Regions from separate parts of the Mus musculus genome. Here all the other regions are reported to be linked to region 1. The links are microRNA targets in miRTarBase. Many come from high-throughput screens and were not tested one by one. Region 1 holds a microRNA gene; each other region holds the end of a gene's coding sequence.
Evidence for each region. The annotated mature microRNA mmu-miR-190a-5p reads UGAUAUGUUUGAUAUAUUAGGU and lies in region 1 at 4,325-4,346, shown strand. An mRNA with a match to its seed (bases 2 to 7 or 8) in the 3' UTR can be bound and repressed. Matches are read on the target gene's strand: a 7mer-m8 pairs with bases 2 to 8, a 7mer-A1 pairs with bases 2 to 7 and ends in A, and an 8mer does both.

Region 1 (7,122 bases):
GAATCTTGAAGCTAGTGTTGCTGGCATTCCTATGGATAGGGCTATACACATGTAGCTGGTTTAGAAAAACATATTAGCACCCCTTATCCCTCCATCCAGATGGTGGAGATCTAGATAGGGCTGAGAGAATAGGCTCATAGGGCCATCATAGCCAGAATGCCTTTTTAGCTTGTGTTTGCGATTACGCCAGTACCTTCATGTCTACACCTACCAAGAATGACTCTCCTGGAACTGATTTTAGGAACAGAGTGGGTGGATCCAGAAGACCCAACCGTCATTGCAGAAACTGAGTTACTGGGAGCTGCAGCATCCATTGAAGCCGCTGCCAAGAAGTTAGAGCAGCTGAAGCCAAGAGCAAAGCCAAAGGTCAGTGTTCACTGGCGGCCGCTCATCCCCTGCGTCCTGCATCCAGCGGTGACTGTGCAGTGGAGCTAAGCAGGGTACACAGAGTTTCTCCTCCCTCCCCATCCTTACACCAGGAAGTCGCACCCGGTCTGCCTGCCCAGCACCATTTTACATAGTGGGGGAGGGGGGCGGGTGAAAACCAGTGAGTGGGTCTAGTTAACTGCCAAGAAGAGTACCTCTGGTTATTCCGAGGAGAAACAGGACATCCACATGGAATTCCACCATGGAAAGCAAGTTGTGGATAGTTTCTGTCAAAGGCTCCTGTTAGTAGATAGGAGACTGACAGCCTTCAGTTCATCAGTTTCTACTGCACCTTTGATACAGAAAGAACAATGCTGGGTATCTTGTTTTCTTAGAAACAACAGGCCTGGAAAATGGCTCAGTCAGTAAACTGCTTACTGGGGCGAGCACGAAGACCCGAGTATGGATTTCCCAGCACCCACATAAAAAGCACACGCGGTAGTGTGCGCCTTTACAGCTCTGAGGAAATAAAAAACAAAAACAACAACAACAACAACAAAAAATCAACCAAAAACAATATGGTGCTTGCAGTGGGTAGAAAGATGGCTCAGTGAAGAGCACTTGCTTTTGCCATTCCAGAGGACCCAAGTTCAATTCCTAGCGCCCACAGCAGCTGGTTCACAACCATCTGTAACACCATCTTCAAGGAATCCCACATCCTCTCTGACTCCATGGATACTCTACACACACACACACCATCTTCAAGGAATCCCACATCCTCTCTGACTCCATGGATACTCTACACACACACACACACGTGCACACAAAGTTATATATATGGAAGTATCGTAGAGAAGCAATTGAGGGAAATACTTGGCATGGACCTCTGGCTTCCACCTGTGCATCCACACACAAATAGAGAATAATGCACATCTCAAAGAGAAACCCAGCACTAGGCTGTTTCAGTGTGTACAGGAGCCCGTGGCTGGCTAGTGTAGTTTTCATAAGAGAAGTAGCCAAGAAGATAGATTCTTTTCTATGGGGCAGTAGGAGCTGGCCCATCTTCAGGGTCAGGCTCAGCCTTAGTAAGCAGCTGCGGTTCCTACCCCACACTTCAGCCACCTTTAGGAAGATGTCAGAAGGAGGAGGTTTCATTTTCTTCCTACCTATGCAAGTCTTTATGGGTATCTATATTCACCTCCCAGGGACCCACATACATTGGGAAAGGAACTTTGGCTATTTGTATGCCCGCCCCAAAAAAGTTAGACCCCCAGTTTAGGTCTGCCTAAATTTCTACCTATTTTTGTCAAATTGAAAGATGGTGTCTGGAGGTTTGAAATACAACAATCAGTGCCAAGGCAGTGTTGAGGACATGTATGCAGCAGACAGGAGGCTAATGAATCTGTTAAGGCTGGAGGCTTCTTAAAGTCGTCAAGGCTTCAGACCTATCTCCTAAGCACTGGCCTTGATGGCAGGCACATTTCAGATTTTCCTCATCAAGGCATAATTTGAGATTTTTGACCTCTGACTTTTGTGTTTGCTGGGGTTTCGTTCCTGGTGCCCTGGGGCTCTTGGATCATCTGATACTGTCAGAGTTTAAGATCTGACAGTCCGGTCAGGGACAACTGCATTTTCGGGTTAGGTTTTTGTTTCTGCTTTGCAAGTCAAGTTAATAGAACTTGAGAAGTATACTTTAAAGGTGAATCTTAAAAATAAGGTTGTGCCGGGCGGTGGTGGCGCACGCCTTTGATCCCAGCACTCGGGAGGCAGAGGCAGGCGGATTTCTGAGTTCGAGGTCAGCCTGGTCTACAAAGTGAGTTCCAGGACAGCCAGGGCTACACAGAGAAACCCTGTCTCAAACCCCCCCCTTCCAAAAAAAAAATATATATATATATATAAAAGGTTGTGAGGTTTGCAGCTTAATCTGCGTGTCTTATGCTTGTCTAGTCTATCCCAAGAGGCCTTTTCACAGGGGATGACTCTGTGTTTTGGTCAGTTGACACCTGCAATCTGTGAATGGGCCTGCTGCTCGTGTATCACCCATATTCCACTATTTTCCAGCATCCCCTGGCCTCCACCCTGTCCTTCTCTAGGGTCCTCCTCAGCTCTTGTCTGTTTTTCTCTGACTGGTTGCTCATTTGCGTCAACATTCTTGATTTGGAAAACAGACTTACTGGGATCTCCTTCATCCTGCAGGATTGTTCTTATAGCATAAGTCGATAACGTAAGAACATGGTGCCTGACTAGTAAATGGTAATGCTATCACCTCTGTCACCATCACTATGACCAGACATATGCTTTCTGACACCTTCATTTTTCATCTTTGTGTGGAAGATAAGGTCTTTCATGGATCCCTAGTTGGGTAAGAGGGCGGGCGACAGGGCTACCGTAAATACAAGACACGGTCCAGACCAGTCTCCTAAGTATTTTATCTGGTCCTCACCACTGTCAGACCGTGTGATTGAGTGGGGAGGGAACATAGAGCTGGGGTCCCAGTTTCTGAACACTGTACTCCCTCTGATACCCCATTGGCAGAGAAAATGATTCCCGTCCCTCAGGACCACTGCACTTTATAGTGTCTTAGGCTGTTAGACTTGTCTCCAGTTCCTTTCCTAAGGAAAAAAACCCAGACTTGTGTGAGAGGGATGTTCTAGAAGCTTGGTTGGTAGCAGTAAGAAGTTGGGGTCTTCTTGAAGGGAAATGATGAGGCTGTTACAGTAATGAAGAGTAATGGTTGCCAGACTGTACAGCGTGAAGATGCTTATGGAATGAGTAAAATGGGGAGAAATGATAACACCTAGGCATCCATGGTTAGTGCTTATGTCACAAAGCTGGGAACTAACGGAGATGATCAGCAAAGAACAGCTAAGACTTGAAATGGGACCAGGGAACGGCAGGCTCTGTGTTTTACAGTTCTGGAAAACAATGTTTGAAAACCACACACATTGAAAATGAGGGGGGCTGGAGAGAGGGCTCAGCGGTTAAGAGCACTGACTGCTCTCCCAGAGGTCCCGAGTTCAATTCCCAACAACCACATGGTGGCTCACAACCATCTGTGATGGGATCCGATGCCCTCTTCTGGTGTGTCTGAAGAGAGTGCCAGTGTACTCACTTAAAATAAATAAGTAAATCTTAAGAAAAGAAAATGAGGGATGGTTGCCGGAGGCGGCCTGTGTGGACCCCTTATGTGTACACTGCTAGGCATTATCCATGAAAGTGTCTCAAAGCAGCTTATCATCCCAAAGCATGTAGCCCCGGGCTTGCAAGGAGGGCCGTCCACCGTGGGAAACTTCTTGCACAATGCATAACATCCTCCTGACAGTTACAAAAGAACTTTTCCTCGGCTTAAAAGAAAAAAAATTACCGAAACAGCAAAACCAGCTAATATTTGAGGTTACTTTTCTCCATCCTGTCCTGTAACCTTAAAGACAAAAATCCTCAGGGTGCCATAAATGGCAGCTGCTCCTGCATACTTGCCATAGTGACTGTGGCCACCCACCCCCATACCACGTGAATGAGGTTATCCTCCACCCAGGCAGAGCACCTGTGCTGCTTGGAGGACTAGTTTGGGGAGGGAGGGAGGGAGGGTGATGACTTCCAGCTGTTTTGATTACCTGGTTCTCAGGTTACCTGTTTTAAAAGGAGACTAGTCTGTGGCATGTGAAGATGGTTCTGGTGTAGTTCCACCCTTGGGCCCTGACCATGGAAGCACCTCCCTTTACCTGTAATCTCTCAGACGTGAGTGACAGACAGGTGCACAGACTCCCTTTTCATTTGGGGAAAGGAGCCCAGGCTCAGAGTGTGTGCCACCAGCATTGTTGCTAATGGCATCCTTGCCACACCTACAGACACGCCTGTGTTCCAAGGCAGGCTGGGAGATACTGCAGAGGTGACTGACTCCCACAGCCATATTCTCAAGCTCAGTCAAACCTGGATGCCTTTTCTGCAGGCCTCTGTGTGATATGTTTGATATATTAGGTTGTTATTTAATCCAACTATATATCAAGCATATTCCTACAGTGTCTTGCCCTGTCTCCGGGGGTCCTAACAAAGTTTAGAAGCAACAGGAAAAAATATATTAAAAAATCACAAGTAGGTTTAGATGACAGAGTGCGTATGTTGTTATGTTTCATTCCATTTCTTCGTGTAGCCTTTAAGACCTGTGTCTTAGTTACCTTTCTGTTGCTGTGACAGGATGCCCCAACCAAAAGCAACTTAAGGCAAAAGGGTGTATTATGGCTTAGTTTATCAGGGGCCAGACCATCAAAGAGGGAAGGCCGGCAGTCAGGAAGTAGAGAGATAGGACAGCAGATGGAGCCAGGCCATAAAACCTCAAAGGCCAGTATGTCCTTCAGCAAGGCTTTGTGAATTCCTAAAGCTTCCATAGCCAAATGGCACTGCCAGCTGAAGACCAAATGTTCAGACACACTAACTTATTATGGATGGGGGATGCTTTGTTTCAGACCACAACAAACTGTATCAATACTACTACATTATCTGTTTGTTGTGGAAAGGGAGTATAGCTCCTGAAGGCTTAAGATATTTTCTAAAGTTTAGTTGAATGCAATTAGGAGTCCTTAAGAAAAGTATTCAGTGGAAAAAGATGGAAGATAACAACCCGTGTCTTTGATATAGGACAAAGGTTAGGATTGTAACTGGCAAACACATTGATCTAGATATTTCTTCCTGACAACTCTCAACACACTCTCACAGATTAAATTTTGTAATTGTTTTCCATGCCAAAAAAAAAATCGGGACATTTATTATCTCTAACTTTCCGCTTCTGGTAACAAATCTAAACCCTGGTGACTGTGCTCACTTTACGGATGGTGAGCCCGTAAACCTTAATTGCAGACCTTAATTTGGATCAGATATGTCTGATGAAGAGAACATGCTCGGGACTGTGCTCTGTCGGTTGAGTTTTCTGTTGTAGGTGAACTTCTGCACAGAGGTTGTTAATATTTAGAAGAACCCGGCAGTCCGAAAGTAAACAAATACTCTAATTGGCTGCCGCAGGAAGTTGGGCTATGACCCAGAAAGCATTCTTTCGGGTATATATCAGCCTCTCTGGCTGCTTTGACTTCTTCCCATAAATGAGTCCGTGAACTGTATGTGAGTTTACTCTGAGCTGTCTAGCACAGAGACTATATAAGTACTTTTCCTGGAAATAGCATGGCTATGCTCCCAGGCCTTGTTGGTTTTACCTTAGGAGGAAACAACTCTTGATGGCACTCCTAACTGTGGATGAGCAAGACCTCTTACCCTACAGGGGCAGGAGAGTAGTTTGACGGGGGTCGTCAGAAAAGGAACTTGGGAATATGTAGAAGCCACCATTGGTGAACGAGTAGTTTTTTTAAGCATCGCTCTAAAAGGTCTTTCGGATGAAGACACTTGCCAGAAGTGGTGAGATTTGGGATGGGGGGTAACTCTGCTGCTGTCTGGCATTCCCATGTGGCTGATTCATATTCTGAGTGGGAGTGGGAACGGGCACACAGGTGTTCTGTGACATGGGAAAGCAAACATGTTTTCTGCATGGCTAAGCTACAGGCTTGGAGCTCACATGCCAGACCTTGGTCCCAGACAAGCAGAGAGTGTATTGCCAGGTGGTTCTCTACCAGGACCTTGTTAGGTCCTTAGATGCATAGAAGGCTCATACCAGAGATTCCTAAGATGAACCAAACTGTATCTCATTGAATAATGGAAAGGCTTCTATTGTCCATACTTCCTATATCAAGGTCCAAGTGACCCCTTCTTCCCCTTTTTGAGAGTATGACAGAATTCTAAAGAATTTATTTTCATCAGAGACTAATTATAAGATCAACTCAGTGGTATTACTTTTTATATTGAATATAAGTTACAAAAAATGTAATAAAGCAATTGTATTATATGGGGAAAAACTATTCCCAAGATACTAACTGTGCAGGCTTGGGGCTTTTCCAATGGATGCTACATGAACCTATTCCTTTATTATCTATCTGGATGTGAAGGTGGTGCGTATCCAGCTACTAACATGACTTGCTCAGCAGTGGTTTCTCTGTGTCACCCTGAGCTTCCCCTGAGACCAGGCCTCTGTGAAGGGTACCAGCTGTTCTGGGAGATTTGCCTTTTGTTAGCTTTATTAAGGATGAAGGAGGTCTTAGAGCCAGCCAACCCACTGGTCCTTCAGAGCACAAGTTGATGTAGCCATGGTATGCTTTGGCCAAGACTTTCTCCCCAAAGCATCTCTCAAGTCAAAACCAGAAGCTAGGCAGGAGCAGCCAGGTTCTGCACAAGAAAGGAAAACATGGCCACCTGTTCCACTCAAGCATCCAACTGTCAGGAAAAGACCTCCTGCACGTTGTGGGAGTCCTAGGTATTGGCCCCCGTTTTTCCCTTGAGGACATTTAACTTACATATAACACATTTACACTTTTAAAAAACTCCACTGGACTTCTGACTTCTGAATGCGACCTTCTTGTAGTAGTGGCCATTCAGTAAGAGACTAACACAGAAGGTGGCAAGATGTGAAATGATGGAAGGGCGAGAAACAGCTTGAATAGCTCTTTGGTACATGTAGCTGCTTGCGTGGAGAAGAGTCATGGTACTTTTTAGCTCTCAAAAAGTCTGGTCTGGGCTGGTGAGGTAGCTCAGTGGATAAAAGTGGCTTGCTTTGCAAGCCTAGCAAGTTGAATTCAATCCCCAGATCCCACAGTGGAAGGAGAGAAAGCTGGCCTGCAACCTCCATATGTGTACCATGACACGTGTATCCACACACAT
Region 2 (7,122 bases), not on the chromosome of region 1:
CTCTTAAGTGCTCACCACCAGTGGGTGGGGGTTTCGTCACCTCCATAACCCAAGTAGGGAACCACTCCCTCCAGCAAAGTGACTCAATTAGAAGATGATTCAAAATGACGACCACTACAACCTACCCTCCTCCTGCTCCTCCTGCTCCTCCTGCTCCTCCTCCTCCTCTTCCTCCTCCTCCTCTTCCTTCTTCTACTCCTTCTTCTCTCTCTCTCCCCCCCCCGATATTTTCTTTATTTACATATCAAATGTTTTCCTCTTTCCAGGTATCCTCTTTGGAAACCCCCTATCATATCTCCAAGCCCCTGCCTCTATGAGGGTGCTCCCCCCCCACTCCCCCCTCCCCCCTACATTCCCACTGGGACATTGAACACCCTCAGGCCCGAGGGCCTCTCCTCCCACTGATGTCCAACAAGGCCATCTTCTGCCACATATGTGGCCAGTGCCATGGGTCCCTCCATGTGTACTCTTTGGTTGGTGGTCCAGTTCCCGGAAGTTCCAGGGGGTCTGGCCAGTTGACACTGTTGCTCCCTCCATGGGGCTGCAAGCCCCCTTAGCTCCTTTAGTTCCTTCTCCAACTCCTCCATCAGGGACCCCCCTTAGTTCAGTCCAATGGTTGGTTGCGAGCTTCTTCCTCTGTACTTGTCAGGCTCTGGCAGAGCCTCTCAGGAGACAGCCATATCAGGCATCCATCAGCAAGCACTTGTTGGCATTCACAATAGCGTCCTGGTTTGGTGGCTGTATATGGGATGGATGCCCAGGTAGGGCAGTCTCTGGATGGTCTTTCCTTCAGTCTCTGCTTCACACTTTGTCTCCATATTTTGCTCACCCTACTAAAAAGCACTGAAGCATCCATCCTTCTTCTTAGGCTTCATATGGTCTGTGAATTGAACCTTGGACATTCCGAAATTTGAGGCTAATATCCACTTCTCAGTGAGTACATACCATGACAAACTTCTCTCTTGTAAAAACTTTTGTGACCACCAATAAATTTTGGAACATTGTATTTTTATTTAAATCTTTAACATTTTAAAATTTTTTTCAGATATAATTGTCAGTTGGGAACATATTGTTTAATTTCTACAGGTTTGTTAATTTTCCATGACTCATCATACTATTTTCTAGCTCCAACTACTGTGCTCAGAAAGGATATTTGATATGACTTTAATCTTCTGAAAATTTTAATGCTGTGTTCCGAGACTTAACCCATGCTCCACCATGCAGAAGGTCCCTTGAACAGTTGTTACGAGTGTGTATTCAGCAGATGACAGAGGAAATGTTAGGTCGGTGTGCAAGGAAGTGTAATTCAACTTCCTTGTTTCTTATTTAGGTTTTCTGTCACCTGACAGATGGTGAGTTCAGTGCTGGCCACCTTGCAGAGATCCTTAGCATCCAAGGCTTAGAATGTTCACACTGGGGGTCCAAGTACAAGTTAGCAAAGAGTAAGTCTGGTGTCTGAGATGTGAGCCAGGCAATATAGCCAAAGAGCATAGATCTAGAATGCGGGCATTTCTGGAGCAGCGTGGGTGGGGGTCAGGGTAAAAAAGGCTGGGAGAGGTGGGGAACATACAGTCAGGTCTCTGTGGTTTCCAGGAAGGAACAGCTGCTGAGTATTCTGTGGCATTCTTTGGTGAGCAAGCTTCTTGGGAACACAGTGATTCCACCTTACAGCTCACAGTATACCGCTAATGCTACAGAGCGTCTAGCCTTTCCTTTTTGTTCCTAGCCATCCGGGTGTCTCAGACGAGCATCAACTGGCCTATTGACATAGATGCTCCATCTTATTCTTCTCCACTGTATTGCAGAATTTTAGTGGACCTTCTCAAGGGTGTTTTTTTTTTTAAATAAATAACTGGCTTTTTTCCCCTGGGGGTGGAGGATGAAGATTTCTACCTCCCACTCCATCATCTTGGTAACATCACCTCCTTGACCCAGGTTGTGTTTCAAGAATCTCATTGCCATGTTGAATGAACCCCTCTGAATATTTTGGTTTTTTTCACTCAACATTATGCTTTTGTTATTTATGTTTTCTAATGCAAGAAATTTCAGAAGTCTAGAAAAATCAAGTTTGCAAATCAGATTTAGGAAATACCTTAGTTTTTAAAGATTATTAATTATAAAGATTATTAATTAATTACATATAAAATATATATGTCACATAAAGAACACCCACGTACTGGTTTTCCATGACTAGTGTTCTACCATTCTTATTTCATCTGTATCTACAATTTCCTCTCTCTCTCTCCATACAGGCATATACACACACAGTACAGCATACACACACACACACACACACACACACACACACACACCACACACTATACACACCCCACCCCCATATACACACCACACACACATATACACACACACCACACACACACACACACATTCCACACTGCACATACCCCACCCCACACACATACACACACCCCACACTACACCCCCCCACCACATACACACACATACACACCCCCACACTACACCCCCACACCCCACACACACACCACACACACATACACACACACCCCACACTACACACACCCCACCCCCCATATATATATATATATATATATATATATATACATATACATATATATATATATATATACACACACACCCCACACTCCACACACAAACCACACACACACACACACACACCACACACACTATAGTCTCCAACTCATCCAATTATAACAATGGAAATTATGGTGATAGTTATTATAATTTTAGATAATACACCTTGAAATGCACAAATATTAGGCATGCAGTTTGACAAATGAGGACACTGGTGTACGCCGTATCTTTGTCATGACACAGTCAGTTCTATTTCCCCTCATGATTCTTTCTAGTCAGTGCTGAACTTTCCAGGAAAATGCTGTTATGGTCAACTGAGGTTAGTGTTGCCAAAGATTTCATAAGTGGAATCACAATGCATGAGCTATTTTATTTAAAGGAGACTTGGCCAGAACAGGTCTCTCATTAAAAAATAAGAACAAAAAAATGACACAGAAGAATGGAGGTTATGCAGTGAATAGTAACTGAAGCAATTCCAGTAATGGGTACCAAAAGTGCTCAGAGAAAGCTGTTCTAACTGAAGTTATCCCTGCCTTATGCGTCTAAACAGAAAGGGAGTGAATGTGGCAGACAGCGCTGAGTCAGCATCTAAGACTTCTGGCGGCGTTCGATGCTTAATTACAATAGCAGAATCCAGCAGAAAATTTATAATAGAAAAACTTTGATGTTCTTCTTTGATCTTAGACCAGTGTTTCTCAACCTGTGGGTCATGACCCCTGGGAGGGAGGTCGAATGACCTTTTCATAGAGGTCATATATCAGATATCCTGCACATCAAATATTTACCTTATGATTCATAACAGTAGCAAAGTTGCAGTTATGAAATAGCAACAAAATAATTCTATGGCTGGGGGTCACCACGACATGAGAAACTGTATTCAAGGGTTGCAGCATTGGGAAAGTTGAGAACCACTGATTTAGATGTTGTCTCATACTGATGGAAATCTGATGTAAAAACATTCAGATTTTTGGAAGTACGTACAGTTCTGCTATTTAGGTGGTGTTTATGCTTAGAACAACAAAGTCACGGCAGTGGGGATACATGTATGTGTGTGTGCGTCAGAAGAGACCACACTCTCTTAGCTTATAAAAACGAACTGGCTTGTGAGAGAATCCCACTATGGTCCCTGGCAGCTATGCATGGCCTGTCGACTAATGGAAGCATTCGAGTGAGCCCCTCCCCTCACAGCTCCCCCTCAGCCCTCTTCTTGACTTTTAGACCTCTCAGATTGTCCATGTACACACATTTCTGGGCCTTGTGTTCTGCCTGTATATAACCCAGGAACTGCTCTAGCCTTCAACAGTCACTAGGCTAACCAAAGTAGGTATTTGAAAAAAAAAATATATATATATATATATATCAGTGGAGATACTGAAAGTGCCAGACACTGCTTTCTACACTTTGGTAGTGTGCACTGTCTTCCTGAAGTCTCCTGCGGGTACCCACAAGGCTAAAGCCAAAGGAACATTTCCAATCCTCTTACAGAATAGACACTTTCCTCCCCACCCCCCAAGGGCAGGAAACACCACAATGTTTGAGAAACAGTCTGTATTTAATAAGGATTTCTCAGCAAGAGCCTACTCCTTTCTCAGAATGGCAGAACAGAAAAGAAAAAAAAAAAACCTGTGTTCTGGTGAGAGTGACTAGAATACCCATTCACATTTGGATATTCATGTGTTGGAATTGTTGAAATCTATACAACATGTCAACTAGATGGCTGACATTTGAATCGTATCGGTTGCAGAGGTTTTGAAATTTGACGTCTGTGAGTGAATACACATATGTACTATATATGATATCATATGAAGTTTGTCTCTATATCTGTCTGACTCCTCTGTGTGTGTGTGTGTGTCTTTCCAGGCTAGGAATTGAACCCTGGGCCCCATACACAGTAGCCAAGTACTCTATCACCAAACTCCTTGCCCAGCCCAATTTTGACAGTCTGACTCTGTCCCTTGTCTATTCTCTTCTAACCCACGTACTTTTTGGTTTTGGTTTTGTGAGAGTCTCATGTCATCCAGGTTGGTCTTGAACTCACTACATATTTTTGCCTTACTCTGCCAGCATGTCTCCGGAAGTGGAAAGCCACCTGCTAAGTGTCCCACCCCAACTTTGTCTCCGACCATTGGCAGAACCATCGAGTGTGGTTTCCGTGAGTCTCTAAATGTTTGTTCATAAAGCAACTTCAGCTTTCTCTCGCCTTTCATGCTCTCTCATGTTTTATTACCTCATTTTTCTTGAAGCCACACAAAAGGCTGTAATAATAAGCTAGCTAAGAGACTGTAACTGATTCAGTATTGGGAATTTAATAAAAGTTGTAATTAAGATGCACTAAATATTTAATTAACATAAATGACTAAGATAATGAAGAGTTACAGATGAAATGTTTGTCAATTCAGTAAAAGGATAGTGTAATAGGAAAAAGGGAAGTTTTGAATAATCAAGTCTAAGGCCATTTGAACCAGGTTTTAACATAGCTGTGCTTAAAGGCAGTTGTTTAGACCGGCTTTGGGTTTTGTCTCTCTGTACATGGAGAAGACTCTTATAGGAGTAGCTGTTTGAATGTGAGTTATTAATGAACTCTACCTCAAGACCAGGAGCCAGCAGGAAGGGTCTGACAGTCATAGAGCGCCACGGGCCTGGGTGGGTTGCACAGCGGCTAAATGTTCTGTAAGGTCTTTAGCGACACAGCTTTGAAGTTATACCTGCTGAACACTGGTGTTCGAAAGCTCACATAGCAGAATAATTCTAAATTTAAAACTCTTGATGAACCATTTTGGACACCAATAACACACTAGTATTATGAGATTGTGTGTGTGTGTGTCTGTGACAGAATCTTGTTACACTGCTCAGCCTAGTTTCAAACTTAAGAACTTCCTGCCCTAGCCTCCTGATTTGTTGATATTATGGTATATTCCATTGTGCCTGGATCCATCAGATGAAATCACCATCTCTTTCCTCTATAATTTCTTCTATCTATCTATCTATCTATCTATCTATCTATCTATCTATCTATCTATCTATCCATCTATCTATCTATCTATTTATCTATCTATCATCAATTGGTTGATTGGTTGTTTAAGGCTATCATATATGTATACAATGAAATAAAATCAACCCATTTCCCTCCTCACACTCCCTACTGACCCCCATTTATATCTCTCAACTTCATCGGCTCTTCCTCCCCCTCCTCCCCTCCCCCTCCCCCTCCTCCAAACGTTGTAGTTCACGGTGTACTGGTCGCTCTTCTTTTGTGTGAGACAGGACACAACAGCAGATGCCTGGGAGCACTGAATACCGAGGACAGTCTGTCTCACAGGACCTCAAGCAGCAGGACATTGGGGTCAAATTCAGAACAACACAATTTATTAATTTTGCCCTTGGATATTTATAAAACACACATACACACGAGAAATTTGAATGCTGTTTAGAATACTGCCATGATTTGGTGGAGTGTTAGAAATTTTATTTTAAAATAGTTCAACAAATTCATTTTGAATTTTAATATTCTAAAATAAAAATGCATCATATCAAAATCTTGATCATTTAAAAAACTGTAAACACCATGATTCAAGCCAACAACTTTGTGCTTTTGAGACACGATATGTGCTCTGAGGATAACTGTGACTTCATTTGTCTGAGAAGAGTTTACTCTGCTCCCTTCTGGCTTTCTCAAGGCTTTCAAAGGTGATCAGTCCTTTTGGCAGCTCCAGCTTCGTCTTTTCTGTTTCCAATATGTCCTCAGCTTCACCTTAAGTAAAATGCAGACACAGGTAAGCTGATGAAGACGTCCTAAGGGTTCCCTAAGAGGACCTGGTTGCTGATCCAGGGACACACGGTGGGGACTGGATCCATGACCTTAAATCTCAGAGTTGAGCACCCATCTGACTCAGGAGAAGGAATACACCACTCAGGGGAAGCACATTACATGCTTATATTCTATCACTCAGGAGGAAAGACAAGACGATCATGAGTTCAAGGTCAGCCTAGGCCACACAGGGAGACTGTGTCTCAGAAATAGTACACAAAAGAAAAGATAAATACATGAGGCGATCACTATAATTACCTTGATCTGACCAATATACCACACACACACAAACAACTGAGAATTGACACTAAAAATGAATAAGTTGTCTGCAAAAGGAAGAATACTTATAGAAGTCATTAGAATTCTTTCCCAAAGGTTTAAAATGTCAGCGTTTTCCAATCCCTGGCCCAGATGATCAGCAGAAGGACAAGGTTAATCCTTGACTTGGCATGTCGCCAGTTTCCACAATGTAAATACTCCTCACCTGACCAATCACAAGCCACCAATGAGTGATGCTGGTTTTTTGTCGCATCTGTATGCTGCGTCTACATTTGCATAATGCAGATACAATTGATACAAGTAATTTATGATTATACCGAATAGAAAAATAATTTAAAACAGATGAGTTCTGCGTATTTAATGCTTTTTTGTTTTAAACGAAATTTAGTGTTTATTATAATTTAATTATCAGTCTGTAGGCTTATACCTATTTTATTTAATTACAAATAAATAAATAAACC
Region 3 (7,118 bases), not on the chromosome of region 1:
TTTTTTCCTAATTGTGCTGTGGAAGATAAAAAAAACACAACCTGAAGTGACTTTTTCAGTGGGTCTGACCTACTGCTCTTAGGGGAAGGACTGTGGGTTATCAACAGCACATTTACCTTCGCAATGGGCCTGAGCCACACTTTTCTCTTAGGGGATGGACTACTTGGGTTCTCGGCAATACGTTCACCGGGACTTAGCAGCAAGAAATGTCCTTGTTGAGAGTGAGCATCAAGTGAAGATCGGAGACTTTGGTTTAACCAAAGCAATTGAAACCGATAAGGAGTACTACACAGTCAAGGACGACCGGGACAGCCCAGTGTTCTGGTATGTAAACCAGCTCGGCCGTGCTTTGTAGCTTAGCATTGTCTTGAAGGCTCTTGAAGCTGTGCTTGGGTGCGTATCAGCTGCTCTGAGCTTTTGGAGAATGGGAGAGTCTGGCCATCATCACTTCAGCCTCTGTAGCTTCATGTGAGCAAGCCACACCCACCACAGTTCTCATAGCTGTGAGCAGGTGGAAGAGGCTGGCTCGTTCTTAATACATCCGTGTAGAAGCCCTGGAGGGATCGCAGGGCCACAGGTACACATTGCCATAGTCGTGGAGATCCTGCAAGAGGGATAGATACTTGGCTAGGTTTTAGGAACCACTAGTTACCGTAGTTAGCGAGCCACGCCCTGACCATCATTGTCTCTCAGTTGGGAACACCTTCCTGGGGAAAGCTGCCTGTGTACCCTGATGCCTCTCATGCAGACATGGGGCCCTCTCCACCAGCAAAGCCTATCCAGAGTCTTCCTTCCTCGTTTAAAAACGGAGTGGTTTTGAGGCCCTTGATTGTGCCAGTGAATCCTGAATTATGGGTGAGGCAGCCAACTTAGTGTGGCAGTGGCACAGGCTTCAGGCATGGGTTTGAAAGGCTGTGTGTGATTGGGTAAAAGCTGAAGGGAAGGGGGCATGGCTGGAGCTCTGCTGTTCTGCTGACAGAGATAAGAGGGAACTGAAAGCACGTGTGTCATTGGGAAGTGCTGTAGGGGTGGCTGAGTCAGAGCATCAGGACTTGACCAGAGTTGAAGGACACAAAGTCTGTACTGAAGGTCACCATGGAGAGGAACAAGAAAGGAACAAGGGAATCGGGGTCAGCTGCTTCAGTAGCCCAGGAAGGACAGGTTGGGACAGTAGGAAGTGGATTTGTCTGAGGAGTGTTCAGGAAACCAGTTCTGGGATGCCTAGACACCTGGTATGGGCATTTGGGCATCACTCACCAAAATAGTGATGCCAGAGAGGGTGCTGACTCCTGGCTTACAGGGATATAACTTGGGGCTCATCTTCAGGGGACTGTCCCCTCTCTAAAAGAATGTTCCCTGGGACACGAGGAACACAGATATCTCGTTTAAGGGCAAGTAAGATGTTGCTGTGAGCCTCTGGACTGCTGTCCCGTGTGCTGTGTGCACTGTGGCAGCATGAATGGCCAGAGTCCCTCAGAGGCACGTGACTTACATTCTCAAGAACAGGGAAGTGGCTTTCCTGAGGCACTCTTTTTTTTTTTTTTTGGGAGGAACAAAAGGCTCACTCCCTGCTTTCCTTTCAGGTACGCTCCGGAATGTTTAATCCAGTGTAAATTTTATATCGCCTCTGATGTCTGGTCTTTTGGAGTGACACTGCACGAGCTGCTCACTTACTGTGACTCAGATTTTAGTCCCATGGCCGTAAGTGTTAACTGCTACCTCTTGTCAGTGTGCCACATGGAGAGGGTTACAGCATGCTATCTCACATGGTCTGGCAAAGTTTGCCTTCACAAGTGCAGAATTCAGTAAGACGACTCAGGTTTTTAGGGTGAGGGTCATCACAAGAGAGAATGATACACTTTGAGCATTGCCGTAGGGGTTTTGTTTTCATACGACTGACAGCTGTGGTTGGTCCCCTCAGATGTGCTGTTATGGACCAATCCTTGAGAGCGCAAATAAGGGTTTTAGATTTTCATTTGAAGTTATGGAAGAGAAAAGCTTTGTTGCTTTAATTTCTTCTTACTTCTGAAAGCATCACCTTAATTTTGTTTGGTTTTATTTTACATAGTTGTTCCTGAAAATGATAGGCCCAACTCATGGCCAGATGACAGTGACACGGCTTGTGAATACTCTGAAAGAAGGAAAGCGTCTGCCATGTCCACCCAACTGTCCTGATGAGGTAGCTGTGTCCCCTTCATGGGAAGGGAACTGCATTTTGAATGTCTTTACAGCTTGCCTTATCCAGCATGGGAGGGGAATAACAGAACCGAAGGCCTTACACTGGCTACAGTGTTGGCTCTTGCTTAAGAGTACTCGCTATTCTTTCTGAGGTCCTAGGTTCCATTTACAGCATCCACTTGGGTAAGACATGAGAGAAATCCCTCCTGCGGGGGATGATATGCTGCTCAAGCAAGGCTCCTCTCAGGGAGCTGTGGCCTCCATACCGTGCATGTCTGCCTTCCCAGAAGAGCACATGTGATGAGGTCTTACCATTGCCTGAAGACATTTACCCCACTCACTAGCATTTTCAGTTTTCTAGATTCTAAACTGGATCAAGCCTCCATAGATACTCAGGACTGTCTGGTCAGAGGCAGGTGCAGTGGTGGTGAAGGGGGTAGGCAGATTAGTAACTTTCCTGCCCCTCTCACAGGGTCACAATAGTGACCTGGATTTTGTTGAAAATCAGTTAACCTGTGAGTTAAACAAATGATAATACCATTTATGAACTATTATTTTCTGCATTTTAAGTTGCTCAAATACTCAGTTGTTTAGTCTTGTTAAAGGACAGCAGTTTCTAGCGTATTCTTGATAATTTTGTGTTTTTGAATGTGTGGATGCTTATGGATGCCAGAGACTGAGGGATGTGTCTGCTTGGTTGCCCCGGCTTTGTTTGCTGAGGCAGGGTCTCCCTGGAGTTAGTCCCTCTGGCTTTGCGAGGCTGGCCAGTCTGCCTTACAGCTGCTACCCACGCCTCGCCTTTAAACTGTGTGTCATGCTCTGAACTTTAAGTTACACTCGTGGGGCAAGTACGTGATCCACCAAGCCAACTTTCCAGCCTCTTATTGTTCTTTTAGAATCTCTCAAATCTGATATTATTCATACTGTTCTTGCTTTTATTTTTCATAGGTTTATCAGCTTATGAGAAAATGCTGGGAATTCCAACCATCTAACCGGACAACTTTTCAGAACCTTATTGAAGGATTTGAAGCACTTTTAAAATAAGAAGCATGAACAACATTTAAATTCCCATTTATCAAATCCTTCTCTCCCAAGCCATTTAAAAACGTTTTTTAAGTGAAAAGTTTGTATTCTGCCTCTAAAGTTCCTCAACAAATACTCGAGTTACACATATGCATATGTCACACTGTCACTCAGTGTGTGGATATGCCTATGTCACACTGTCACTCAGTGTGTGGAACTTTCTCTTTAAAGGTGTAACATCTTAAATTTGGTGATGAATAGTGACAACCAAAAGACTAGATTGTGCCTAAGCACTCCTTCTGGAACAACCGAATGATCAGCTGCATAGCAAAGGACTGTGCCGCTGGCATATTGATCTCAGATAAAAACTTGTGGACTTGGCTGACACTCTCCCTTGCCCTGAAATCTCAATGTCTATTCAGTGATAGTACAAGCACGTAGATACCACTTAGTATACTATTGTTTCTATTAAAAAAAAAAAAAAAAAGGTCTGTTCCTGCTACCTTTTAGGACTGAAGTTTTAAGCACTGGTACCCACTGTGGGGCAAACCTGTGCTGCAGGAGGGAGCCTGGCATACACACTCTGCATGTTACTTCTTGAGAACTAGACCTGTGTGCCTGTGTTTTCCTGAACAGCTGCTTTCTGTCAGGCAGACTCCTCTGACCTGGATGCGGTCACATCCACCTTTAAGATTGTCAGTGCATACTCCTTCCTGACGATCCCCTGGGGCAAGCTGCCGACAGTGGCGTAAACAGGAGACATCACCCTATACTGCGAAACTACAGAAAGGAAGACAGCTTGGCCCAGCGGGCTGAAGTTCAGAATTCACTAGGTAGTTGTTGTTGGTTGACTTGGAGGTAGCTGGGTAATCAACAGCTTTCACTTTAGATTCAATGTGAACCGCAGAGTTACTCATGACCAAGAGTCTGGCAAACTCATTAATGCTGTTTAATACTTGTTTGATATTTTTTCACCTTTTGAGCCCTTTTCCCAAAGAATTCAATATCAGTTTAGTAGCAACAGTACAGTTGCCATTTAAATTGGTTTAGTTGCTGTATATCACCATAGCCCCTGTTTACGTCAAACCTGTGTCTCGCTCTATATGCACTTTGTTTACTCTTTATACAATAAACATACTAAAGACTTCACATGCATATGCCTTTTAATATTAAGCTTGCATCTTGAAAAGCATTTCAAACCATTAGCTGACACAGAAAACTAACAGCGTAGACTTTGGGGGGTTGGTTGTAATGACCTTGTACTAACATCACTTGATTTGCATTTCTGTCTTGTAATAACGGGCACAGGCTGGCATAGTGGAGGACCCACATGGAATGTGAAGTGTCTCTAAGTTCCCTCCACTGCTTCCTCCTCACACTGCAGCTCCCAGATAGCAGTCTCTAGCCTCCACTATTCTGTGACTTAGAGCTGCAGCCAGAGGCAGGAGGTGCAGGGTCAGAGCACACCATTAGTCATCTGCTGGGACCTCGTGCTGGTCATCACCTATAGGAAGCGTGTCTAGGACGGTCTTCCTTTCATTTTTTAGCTGTCATTTTTTCAATGAAAGCTGGTATATGCAATAAATTAGGCCAGGTAAAATTCATTATAAAACATGTAACATATGTACCAGTTTTAGATTTTATAATTAATGCTGGAGAGCATTATCAGTCAAAAATGATAAGTCCTCCAAATAAGGTTTTTTAATGATCTGATCTAGGATCATTGAGATCCTACACTTCATCAGTTGTAGTCTCTTAACAATGAACACATAGAAATTTCTAGATGGAAAAAGGTTGCTCACTTAATACCAAGATCTTCGGCAAAGGGTGAAGTCAAAAGTCAGACAAATAAAGACAAGTGTTCTTTCAGAAGTGAATTGGATTAAGCGGCCATTTCCTTTCAGCTTAACAACTACCAAAGAGTGAGTAAATAACCAGAGTGAGGTAGAGCCTGTTAGCTCAGAACTGCCCCACGCTGTCCACGGCCTCCCTCAGGAAGGGCTGTGTGCACTGCTCTGCTGGGGCTCGGCCCTGTCTAGGGACGAGACCTTCACTGCTGTATGCTATGAGACGGCAGGGAAACCCTGGCTCCTTGCTATGCACATCTCCCATAAGATAAAAAGAATAGGGAGACAGACTAAGGGCAAGAGAGTAAACGCCCCTGCCATTGCAGGCTCTGTGGTTCTCGAGGCTACTCAGTTCCCATTGTGACACAAAAGTAACTACATAATATGTAAATGAGCAAGCCTCACTGTGTTCCCAACATCATCTTGGGGACATTGAAACTGCAGTTTCATGTTGTAAGTCCTCCCCTACCCCCAGACGTTTAGAAATGTCCTCACTTGATTCACAGGCAGCACAAAGCTAGGTGGTGGACTACATGTGGCCCTAGTGTGTATTCTGCTAACCCTTGTATTATGTACAAAAGTTACTTTTCCTGAAATACTTTGTTTTCCGCAAAAGGTGTATATGGTAAATGATACTCCGGAAGTGAAGCATCTGAAGTCACATCACTTTCACTCTGCCACTGGGTTGGTCTTATGTGGCTTTGTAGAGCTAATGGAGGCTGCATGATGAGCATCTGTTGTCACCACTGGGTGGTACTGCCACCCTTGCAGTTTGAGGAAAGACTACAGATGAGACTATTTTTAGGGGAGAGTAAGGTAAATGCACATTGGCTTATACGAAATTCATTCTAAGGCTAAGGAAACAACAGTTTCCCAGTTATTGCTTCAGACTTTATATATGATGTCAAAATTGTTCCCAGGCCCGAAACAAGGACTATTGGAATGCTGACTCTCCTGTGAGCGGAGTCCTTATCACGTGGATTAAGACACATCTAATGCTAGTGGAAATGCCCTCGACCAGTGGTGTTTCTTATTGCTAGGTGGGTATTTGGCTGATCTGCCTGCTGCATGACAGTTCCTTCTGGGAAGTCAGACACCCGTATAGAAAGGATATGGCTAGTGTGAATGAAGTTAAGGCAGCGATGAGCAGCAGGCGCCGCGCCGCAGCAGGCGGGCAGGAGACCCGGAGCTTAGTACACACGCTTCTTTTTCAAGTAGGTTTCTGTGTAGCTCACTCCGGTGTCCTGAGGGTGCTGGCCAGCGAGTTCTACCGGGCCTCCTTCTGGGGCAGAGATGAGATAGGAGGAGCCTCGCTTCTCATTCCTCAAGGAGGATGCCTGTGAGAAAGTCAGTGAAGATGTCCGTGAGAAAAGCATGCTATCCTCAGTTGGTGTGAGGACAGAATCCCAGAATCCCAAAACCGAGAAGAAATAGAAAACCACCTTTGTTGCAGGAATTAGACTTTCAAGTCTCTATAAAGTCACCCGTGGAGAGCCTGGTATGGTTCAGTTGAAGAGCAGCCTCTGGCCCTGCACTCCACCCCAGCACCAGTCAGTCCCACCTAGAACCTGAGCCCTCACCTCAGTTCTGGGATGTGGGAGGAGGAAACTGGTCCTATTCACACCTGAGGCAGAAGAGCAGTACCAAGCATCTGGCTCTGATGGAGGATGCAGGCTAGCAAGTGGGGAGTCGTGTTAAGTATGCCCATTGACTGTGTGCAAGAACTTGTCAGAGTGGTGTCAGGGAAAATGACAGCACTACCAACAGTAATGGTCATCTCAAAACTTTGGGGCCCCAAATAATCAGATTTCCAGGCTCCCTTCCCGAGAGTCTGATCTAATGTTCCCCATAACAGGCCACATTAATCAGTACAATGATATCCTGCAGCCTAGCACGTGACCTTTCCCTACAAATAAGTGTGAGGTGCTTGCTGAGGCCATTATAACAGCCCAGATACACAATGTGAGAACAGCTGATGGGGAGGGAGGTCAGCTTTCTAACACTGGAGAGTTCTCACATTCGGTGTCTTTAAACCCTTAAAAAGGTTGCGTCATAGGTTGCATTTGTCCT
Region 4 (7,120 bases), not on the chromosome of region 1:
CTCCCCAGGCACCTGGTCACTGTTCCATGAATTCTAGGCCAACCTACACATAACAGTTTTAAGATAAGAAGCAGTTACAAAGGTAGAGACAATTTATAAAAATGTCAGAAGGGTGCAAGGTAAGGATTGGAGAGAAGAAAGGGAAGGAGGAAATGATGTAATTATATTTTAATTAAAGAAATATGAGCTCACACATGAGCACACAAATAAGTGTCAAAGTAAAACAAGGCCTTGCTTTGTAGCCCCAGCTGGTCTTCTGAGTACTGGGATTACAGGCAGGCATGGGTATCCGCACACCCTACATCTTATTTAGAGGTTTTTCTTTAATAACGTTTTCAGTAATGGAGAGAACAAGGGAGGAGAAAAACAAGGATACAGGTTTAAACAACAGGATTAAATCCTACTTACGGAGCACAGGGGCAGATGTGAAATGATCACTATTCTCCCCCCAGCTGTAGACAACAGGCTCTGGAAAATGACCCTCAACAGAACTCCACCAGGCTGTGGAGAAAATGGAGAGAGGTTCTTGATCTTACGAGAACAGTATAGGGTATGTGAACAAGGGAAATTGCTCCCTTTTCTGTGAGAAGGGGAGGAATGATAAAGGAGGGCCCCAAGAGGGTAGTCTGGGAGATTTACAGCAGCCATAATGCTTTATTCTAGTCTGGGTGCCAGGCCCAGCTCCATGGACGTGCTCTCTGCTCACCTGGGCAGAGAGAGGAGAATGTGGATGTCTTTCTGGCTAGTGGCTTTGTCAAATGGGTACAGGACAGGTGGTTGGGTTTGGGCATTCTTATCATTCCCAGCTCCAGGGGACATCTAGTCCATTTAGAACTCCTTCAGTAAAAGGCTTCCAGTTGGTCCTCCTGGGAGGGTCAGCGATGAGAAGATGTTGTGTCAACATGACCACATAACCCTCTGTCTATACAGTCATCTACTTAAATTTTTTATTATTGTGTGAATTTGAATGTGTGCTTATGATGTGTGTAAGTGGGTCTGTGTGTCATAGTGCATGGGTGGAGGTCATAGGACAACTGTGGGTTCATTCTTTCTTCCCATGGGTTCAGTGGAACTCAGGTTGAAGTCTTGATGTACGAAGCCCCTCTTCACACTGAGCTGAGCCCTATGTAATCATATTTAATCTTGGCATTACTAACTTAAAAAAAAAGTTGTAGACTTTGAGGCCAGAGGAGCTGCAGTCTCTTATGGAAGTCACACAGTAATGAGGAAACCAAGAATCTACCTCTTCGGGGTCAGTCTAGCACCCTGGAGCCTGAACACGGTTCCTTTCCTAGCGCTAAGAGAACCTGGTATTTGCCAAGAACTCTTGGCGTGGTCACTTGTGATGTCGCAAGGATGAGATTCTCACAACACAATGCAAATAATTTCAGATTCACTTTTGTATTAGTTACTTTTCTGTTGCTGTGATAAGATATCACTATTTAATAACATATAGAAAGAAGGGTTTATTTGGGCTTATCATGGCAGGGAGAGGCAGCAGCAAGCGACAGGCATGGTAAGAGAACTCTCACTCTCAACCATAGGCACAATGCAGAGAGCAAGTAGGTTGCTGGGAAAGACTGTAACACTCACAGCCTGGCTCCAGCCTCCTGCAGGTTCCATAACCTTCCCAAATAGTGCCACCAACTGGGACCAATGGTTCAAATACCCAAGTCTGCGGGGGATCATTTAAACTACAACACTTTTCATTTGAAAACTTACTGCAAATATGAGACCGGTTTTATTTTTGTTTTTAATTTTTTTTAATGTATACATACACACACACACACACACACACACACACACACACACACACACACACAGACTTTGTTAGAGCCAGGCTCTAGAGAACTTCCAGAGAAGATTTCAAACAGATCTGGGATATATAAATCATTGCAAAGTATAATTTAGTTGAATGTGGAGGGAAAGAGATGAAGAAATCAAGCACGAAGACAAATGGATTCAGTAGTTTTTTTAAAAAGCATAATAAACTGTGGGCTGGAGAGATGGCTCAGTGATTAAGAGCACTTACTATTGCAGGGGACCCTGGTTGGACCCAGGACCAACATGACAGCTTATAACCAACAACTCCAGTTGCAGGGGCTCCAGTACCATCTTGTAGCCTCTGTAGACACCGAGTACAAATGTGGTACACAGACATAACATATAGGCAAACAGTCACACACATATTTAAGTGTGAACCACATCACTTCTCCACAGTAGATGAGCTATATGAGGTATGTCATAATCACCTGTACAGTAAACCCAGCTGAGACACCTGGATGTCCGTCACTGGTTTAGTGTATGAACTCCGTCATACCTGGAAGCTCTGATATAATTTTTTTTCTATCTTTCTTTTTGGTGACAATAGTACTGGGGTCATCATCATCATCATTATTGTGTTGTTATTGACAACAGTGGTGGTGATTTCTTGAAATAGGGTCATGTGACCCGGGTTGGCCTCAAACTTAACTATGCAGCCAAGGATGGGCATTAACGCCTTTGTCCTTCTGCCTCTGCCTCCTTGGTGCTGGGATTGCAGATGTGTACATACCGCCATGCCCCACACTTACTCTATGGTTTTTGTCTTTAAAGTTTGTTTTTAGGTTTATTTAGGGGTGTGTGTGTGTGTGTGTGTGTGTGTGTGTGTGTGACATTCCAGGCAGGATACTGTGGGCTTGCATGTACACAAGTGTGGGATACGTGCAGTAGCCTGGAGGAAGGGATGGGTGGGCTTCAGAGCAAGAATGAGAAAGCCAGAGCACCAGGGACATGATGCTCAAGGGTTGTTTGGAACAGTATCAGAAAGAGAGAGAGGGAGGGAGGGGGAGTGGAAGGGGGAGAAGGAGGGGACTGGGAAGGGGGAGGGGGAGGGAGGCTGACAGAGAGACAGGGAGACAGAAGGAAACGTTAGCTGTTCCCACTGAGAGCTCAGACAGACAGAAGCAGACAGGCTCTGTGGTGCTGCCTGATGGATGCTCTGCAGCATCTGCCTCCCTGGAGTATTTTTAAGCCAGTGGAAAATACCCTGCAAACGCTGGCTTTTAGGAGATCCTCTGTAGCCGTTTCTCTCTCACAGCTTCGCCATTTGACTTTTTAAAGGTTGTTTTGCCTAACTAAGAGTTCTTTTTTTTATCCAAGTGTAAGAAAAGTAAGACCCAGGGCTGGAGAGATGGCTCAATAGTTCAAAACCCTTGCTGCTCTTACAGAGGACCAACATTCACTTCCCGGCACCCACAGCAGACCAATTGCAGCCCCTGTAACTCCAGCTCCAGAGGTTCTGGTGTCCTTTTCTGGCCTCCTTGAAAACTGCCTTGGTGTTTAGTATGTGCATGGTAAAATTTTGCTGAATAAATGGAAGGAGGAATATAAATAGCAGAGAGGATCCTCTCTTGGGTCTCTCAGTCACTGTCCTGTGTACATTTGTAATAGTGATATTGGCCTTGTGCTGTCACAGGAACATAGCTCCTTTCTCCACATCTGCTTCTGGAGGTCAGAGGTTATAGTAATTTTTTTCTTCATATTTCAAACAGTGCTGTGCACATAGTAGGCACCCTTAAATGAATGAGTCATGGTCTGGATGTATGACATGTTTCATGGAGCATGTCAGTACCCCCTAGTCCAGCTGCTGTTACCACAGCACTGGATACTACTATTAAATATGCTTAGCTCACACTATTGGTACTACTGCCCATGGCCTTAGGTTCTCCTCATACACGGCATCTGTTTCAGACATCTGCTGCCTCCCCTGGACCAGCATCCACTCCTGCTTCTAATACTACCATGGTATTGTTTGGATCTCAAAGCATGCAGGTTGGATGGAATATAGGCTTGCAACCCAAGCCTGACCAATCAGAACCTTCCATCCTTCTGGCCCACAGTGACTGGTCCCAGGATGAGTTGTGGCCAAAGTCATGATCCAACAATTCCAGGAGTTGTGTTGAAACCCAGAAATCATTTTCAACTAGATTTATCAGGACAGTAGGCTATTAAACTATAGCTGTCTACATTACTTTAATGGAATAACTCAAATGACTAGTCCTGAACCAAGGAAATGGACACTGGATCCAGGTATGTCTGAACACCGATCAGATTTTCTGTCAGTGCAATGAGAATAATTTGAGCCAATATAAAATTCCTTTCTCTGTGGTTAGCTAAAGCCTCGTGTTATAGTTATTAAGATGGTGTGCTTTCAAAGCCATGGTGCCACTGGGATTGAAAATACTGTATGACCATATCCTGGGTTTACCATGAATCAATTAAAGCTCTTCCAAGTCTTGGGAAATGGGTAAAGGCTGTACTGAGTCTGAGATGCTCTGGATACAGGGCTGAGGGATGACCATGGTGGCAGCATGGCTAATGCGTGGGTGGCACAGAGCACACTGGGATAAAGGTTTGCTTTGGTGCAATTCCATTAACATTTCTTAAAAAGGTTTCACTGAGAAGCTTGGCTGAGCCTCCTGCCTCAGCCTCCACAGCGTGGGGATTATAGGATCACTGTGCCCAGAACCATTCACTTGTTTAAAAGGCAAAATGAGGTGACGATAGGGATGCAAAGGGGTTGCAAAGCTATAATGCCAGGGAACAGGCAGAGGAGGATCTAAGAATGGCTGTGCTTCCTTTTGTGTGGGAGATGGTTCCACTTCCACCACCCACCAGTAACCATTGTGGTGTTCACCTTAAGCAACGCTCGCCCGTGTTTTCCAAGCCCAGAAGGCAGAAACAACGGAAGACTGTTGCAGCAGCTCTTCTCTGGAGGAGGGTGACTTTGTAGAAAGCAGTCTTTCACAGGGGACTGAGCAATCTGGAGGGCCCAGAACTGTGGTCGAGACTTCAGGCATAACAACAGCAATTCATTTCCTAGGCTGTTCTCAGCTATCCACCCACTAGGCTTTGTCCAAAGATTTCTGCTCGCTCTTGAAGGCAAGGTTTATGTTGAACAAGTTCCAGCGGTGAGGTCAGCCTTATGGAAAGTTTCCATATATGACATGTGTCTGAGCTTTGCCCAAGAGCATTACCAAAGCCCCCTCACTGAGCCTGCCCGGGAAGCAGGTCTTGGCTGGGTTCCCACATCGAGGGGGCAGTGGAGTTTTGGTTTCTGGATAAGAGATACTGTCCTTTTTGTCCAGTTACAATGCAGTATATGTTCTCTCTAGTTGGGAAACATTTAAAACAGAGGGGGAATGAAATCTCATAATCCTACCCTTTGATATGAATTCATCCTTTTCTGAATGCATATGTTCACATATATTTAGGAAGGCAGCATTGTTGGTAAGAGTGAGAGTATCAATTTGGGAGGCTAGAGAGATGGTTTAGCTATTAAGAACACTTTCTGCTTCTGTAGAAGACCTGGGTTCTGTTCCCAGCATCCTTCATGGCACCTCACAACTGCTTGTAACTCCAGTTCTAAAGAAACCAAAGTCCCTTTTGGCTTTGCAGGCACCTGTAAGTACACAGTGCACATAAGACATATGAGCACACATGTACATATGCATGTTAGAAAAACAAATTCTGCTATATCCACTCTTCTCTCATGTTAGTGCCACAGATCTCTAGGTGACCTTTAGTTTGCCACTCATGTTCCCACCCCAGCCTAAGCATTTCTCAAGAAAAAGCCAGCACAGTGGACTTAGCAGGGTGGGTGACTCGGCAACCACACCATTGACTTGGATGTAACCAGGAACTCTGAAATGCTTCAGTGCCTGGGCTGAAGGTTGTCAGGCTTAAGGAGAAAGTGGGAAGACACACTTTGAGACAACAGCAAAACGAGAGAAGACTTCCTGCCTGTGGAGGAGGCAGCAGGCAGGCAGGCAGGCACACTGACTAATTATAAGTGAAGTGGAACACAGTTCAGTGTGGCACACACCATCCCATTTGGCCGCAATCAGACTCAAGTGTTTGTGTGATGATGCTCGGTCAGACAAATCACTCTGGAGCACAACACAAGTGAGCTGTTTTATTATAGAAGAAAATAACACCCTGACCTTTTAAATAATACACTTTAAACAAGATCCATGTATGGGGGCTGTGAACGCCTCATGCACATCCCACCAGAATGGTAAGCTCCCTTATTAATGCCACAAACAATAAAAAGCCAAATCCTTCAAAATGGCTTCTACAGTTTTGCACAGATGCCCCTATTTAGTCCAAAGGCAGAGATGAACAAGTTGGGAGGTAAATTTCAAGAGGAACAGAAGGCCAGTGTTTGGATCTAGAGAAGTATTTTCTCTTGCATCCTAATTTTTGAGTTAGTTGCTTGGTGTGATTTGGTCATTTTCACATTTGTCTTAAAAAATAAGATGATTTCAAATTAAGGAAAAACAACAACAACAACAACAACAACAACAACAACAGTCTCCCCTTAGTGTTGACCCTTTCCTATCCTGTCTTAAAAGCTTACTCAACTCCATGGGGGCAATAAACTGAACGGGATATGCAGCTTAAGAGGGGGGTAGGACTCTTTTTATAATTTACATTTATTCGCTTTTTAAATTAATTGATATGCGTGTGTGTGTGTATGTGCACACACACGTGAGAACACACATACCACAGCACACATGTGGAGGTTAGAGGACAACTTGGGGGAATGTCGGTACACTCCTTCTACCATGTGGGTCCCAAGAACTGAGCCTGGGCTGTTGGGCTTGGTGACAAGTGCTGTTACCCAGTGATCCATCTCCCTGGTTCATGATTTGAGATTTATCGAAGGTCTGTGATCGTCACAATTCTGTCCTTGACAGTGACATGGCTGCAGTCCTGAAACAGAGAAAAAGGAGAAGCAATGAAGTTGTGGAAAATCCTTTAGAGTCATTTAAAAAAATATTTATTTGAGCCTAGGTCTATGGCTGGCTTCAAATTCCCTAGGTAGCCCAGGTGGCCTCCATCTTTCTGGTGCCACCTCTGAGTGTTGGTATTGTAAGTATGTACTACTCCGGTCATTAGGGCTGGGGATTGGAGCCACAGTCTGGGGCTTGTGAAGAAAGCCCTCAACCAGCTGAGCTACATCTCCAAACCTCTCATTTAAAATGCCCACTCAGATACAGAAAGACAAACGCCAAATATTCTCTTTATTTGTGGATTTTTGCTCTGAATCTTTACATTTGAGTATGTACCCTGACAG

Region 2: the mRNA of Plgrkt is a reported target of mmu-miR-190a-5p. Seed matches in the 3' UTR shown: 7mer-m8 at 6,176-6,182.
Region 3: miRTarBase lists Raver2 as a target of mmu-miR-190a-5p. The part of its 3' UTR that is shown has no 7-base or 8-base seed match.
Region 4: miRTarBase lists Stambp as a target of mmu-miR-190a-5p. Seed matches in the 3' UTR shown: 7mer-A1 at 6,498-6,504.

The regions. Positions count from the first base shown.
Region 1 is chr9:67,233,924-67,241,045 of GRCm38, reverse strand. It overlaps Mir190a (microRNA 190a), which reads left to right and starts at 4,320; the gene lies at 4,320-4,386. Tln2 (talin 2) reads left to right here. Exons shown (of 58, transcript NM_001081242.2): 53 at 242-366.
Region 2 is chr19:29,342,681-29,349,802 of GRCm38, forward strand. It overlaps Plgrkt (plasminogen receptor, C-terminal lysine transmembrane protein), which reads right to left. Exons shown (of 6, transcript NM_026362.2): 6 at 5,997-6,325. The coding sequence ends at 6,204. Gm52390 (a long non-coding RNA gene) reads left to right here. Exons shown (of 3, transcript XR_003952902.1): 3 at 4,639-5,572. Among named protein-coding and RNA genes, the nearest start is that of Rln1, 12 kb to the left of the region's middle.
Region 3 is chr4:101,149,599-101,156,716 of GRCm38, reverse strand. It overlaps Raver2 (ribonucleoprotein, PTB-binding 2), which reads right to left. Exons shown (of 12, transcript NM_183024.1): 12 at 4,347-6,385. The coding sequence ends at 6,239. Jak1 (Janus kinase 1) reads left to right here. Exons shown (of 25, transcript NM_146145.2): 22 at 152-324; 23 at 1,584-1,701; 24 at 2,069-2,179; 25 at 3,127-4,743. The coding sequence ends at 3,222. Among named protein-coding and RNA genes, the nearest start is that of Gm24468, 34 kb to the left of the region's middle.
Region 4 is chr6:83,537,281-83,544,400 of GRCm38, forward strand. It overlaps Stambp (STAM binding protein), which reads right to left. Exons shown (of 10, transcript NM_024239.2): 10 at 5,926-6,756. The coding sequence ends at 6,700. All of the region lies in intron 2 of Gm38844 (a long non-coding RNA gene), which reads left to right. Among named protein-coding and RNA genes, the nearest start is that of Actg2, 4.6 kb to the left of the region's middle.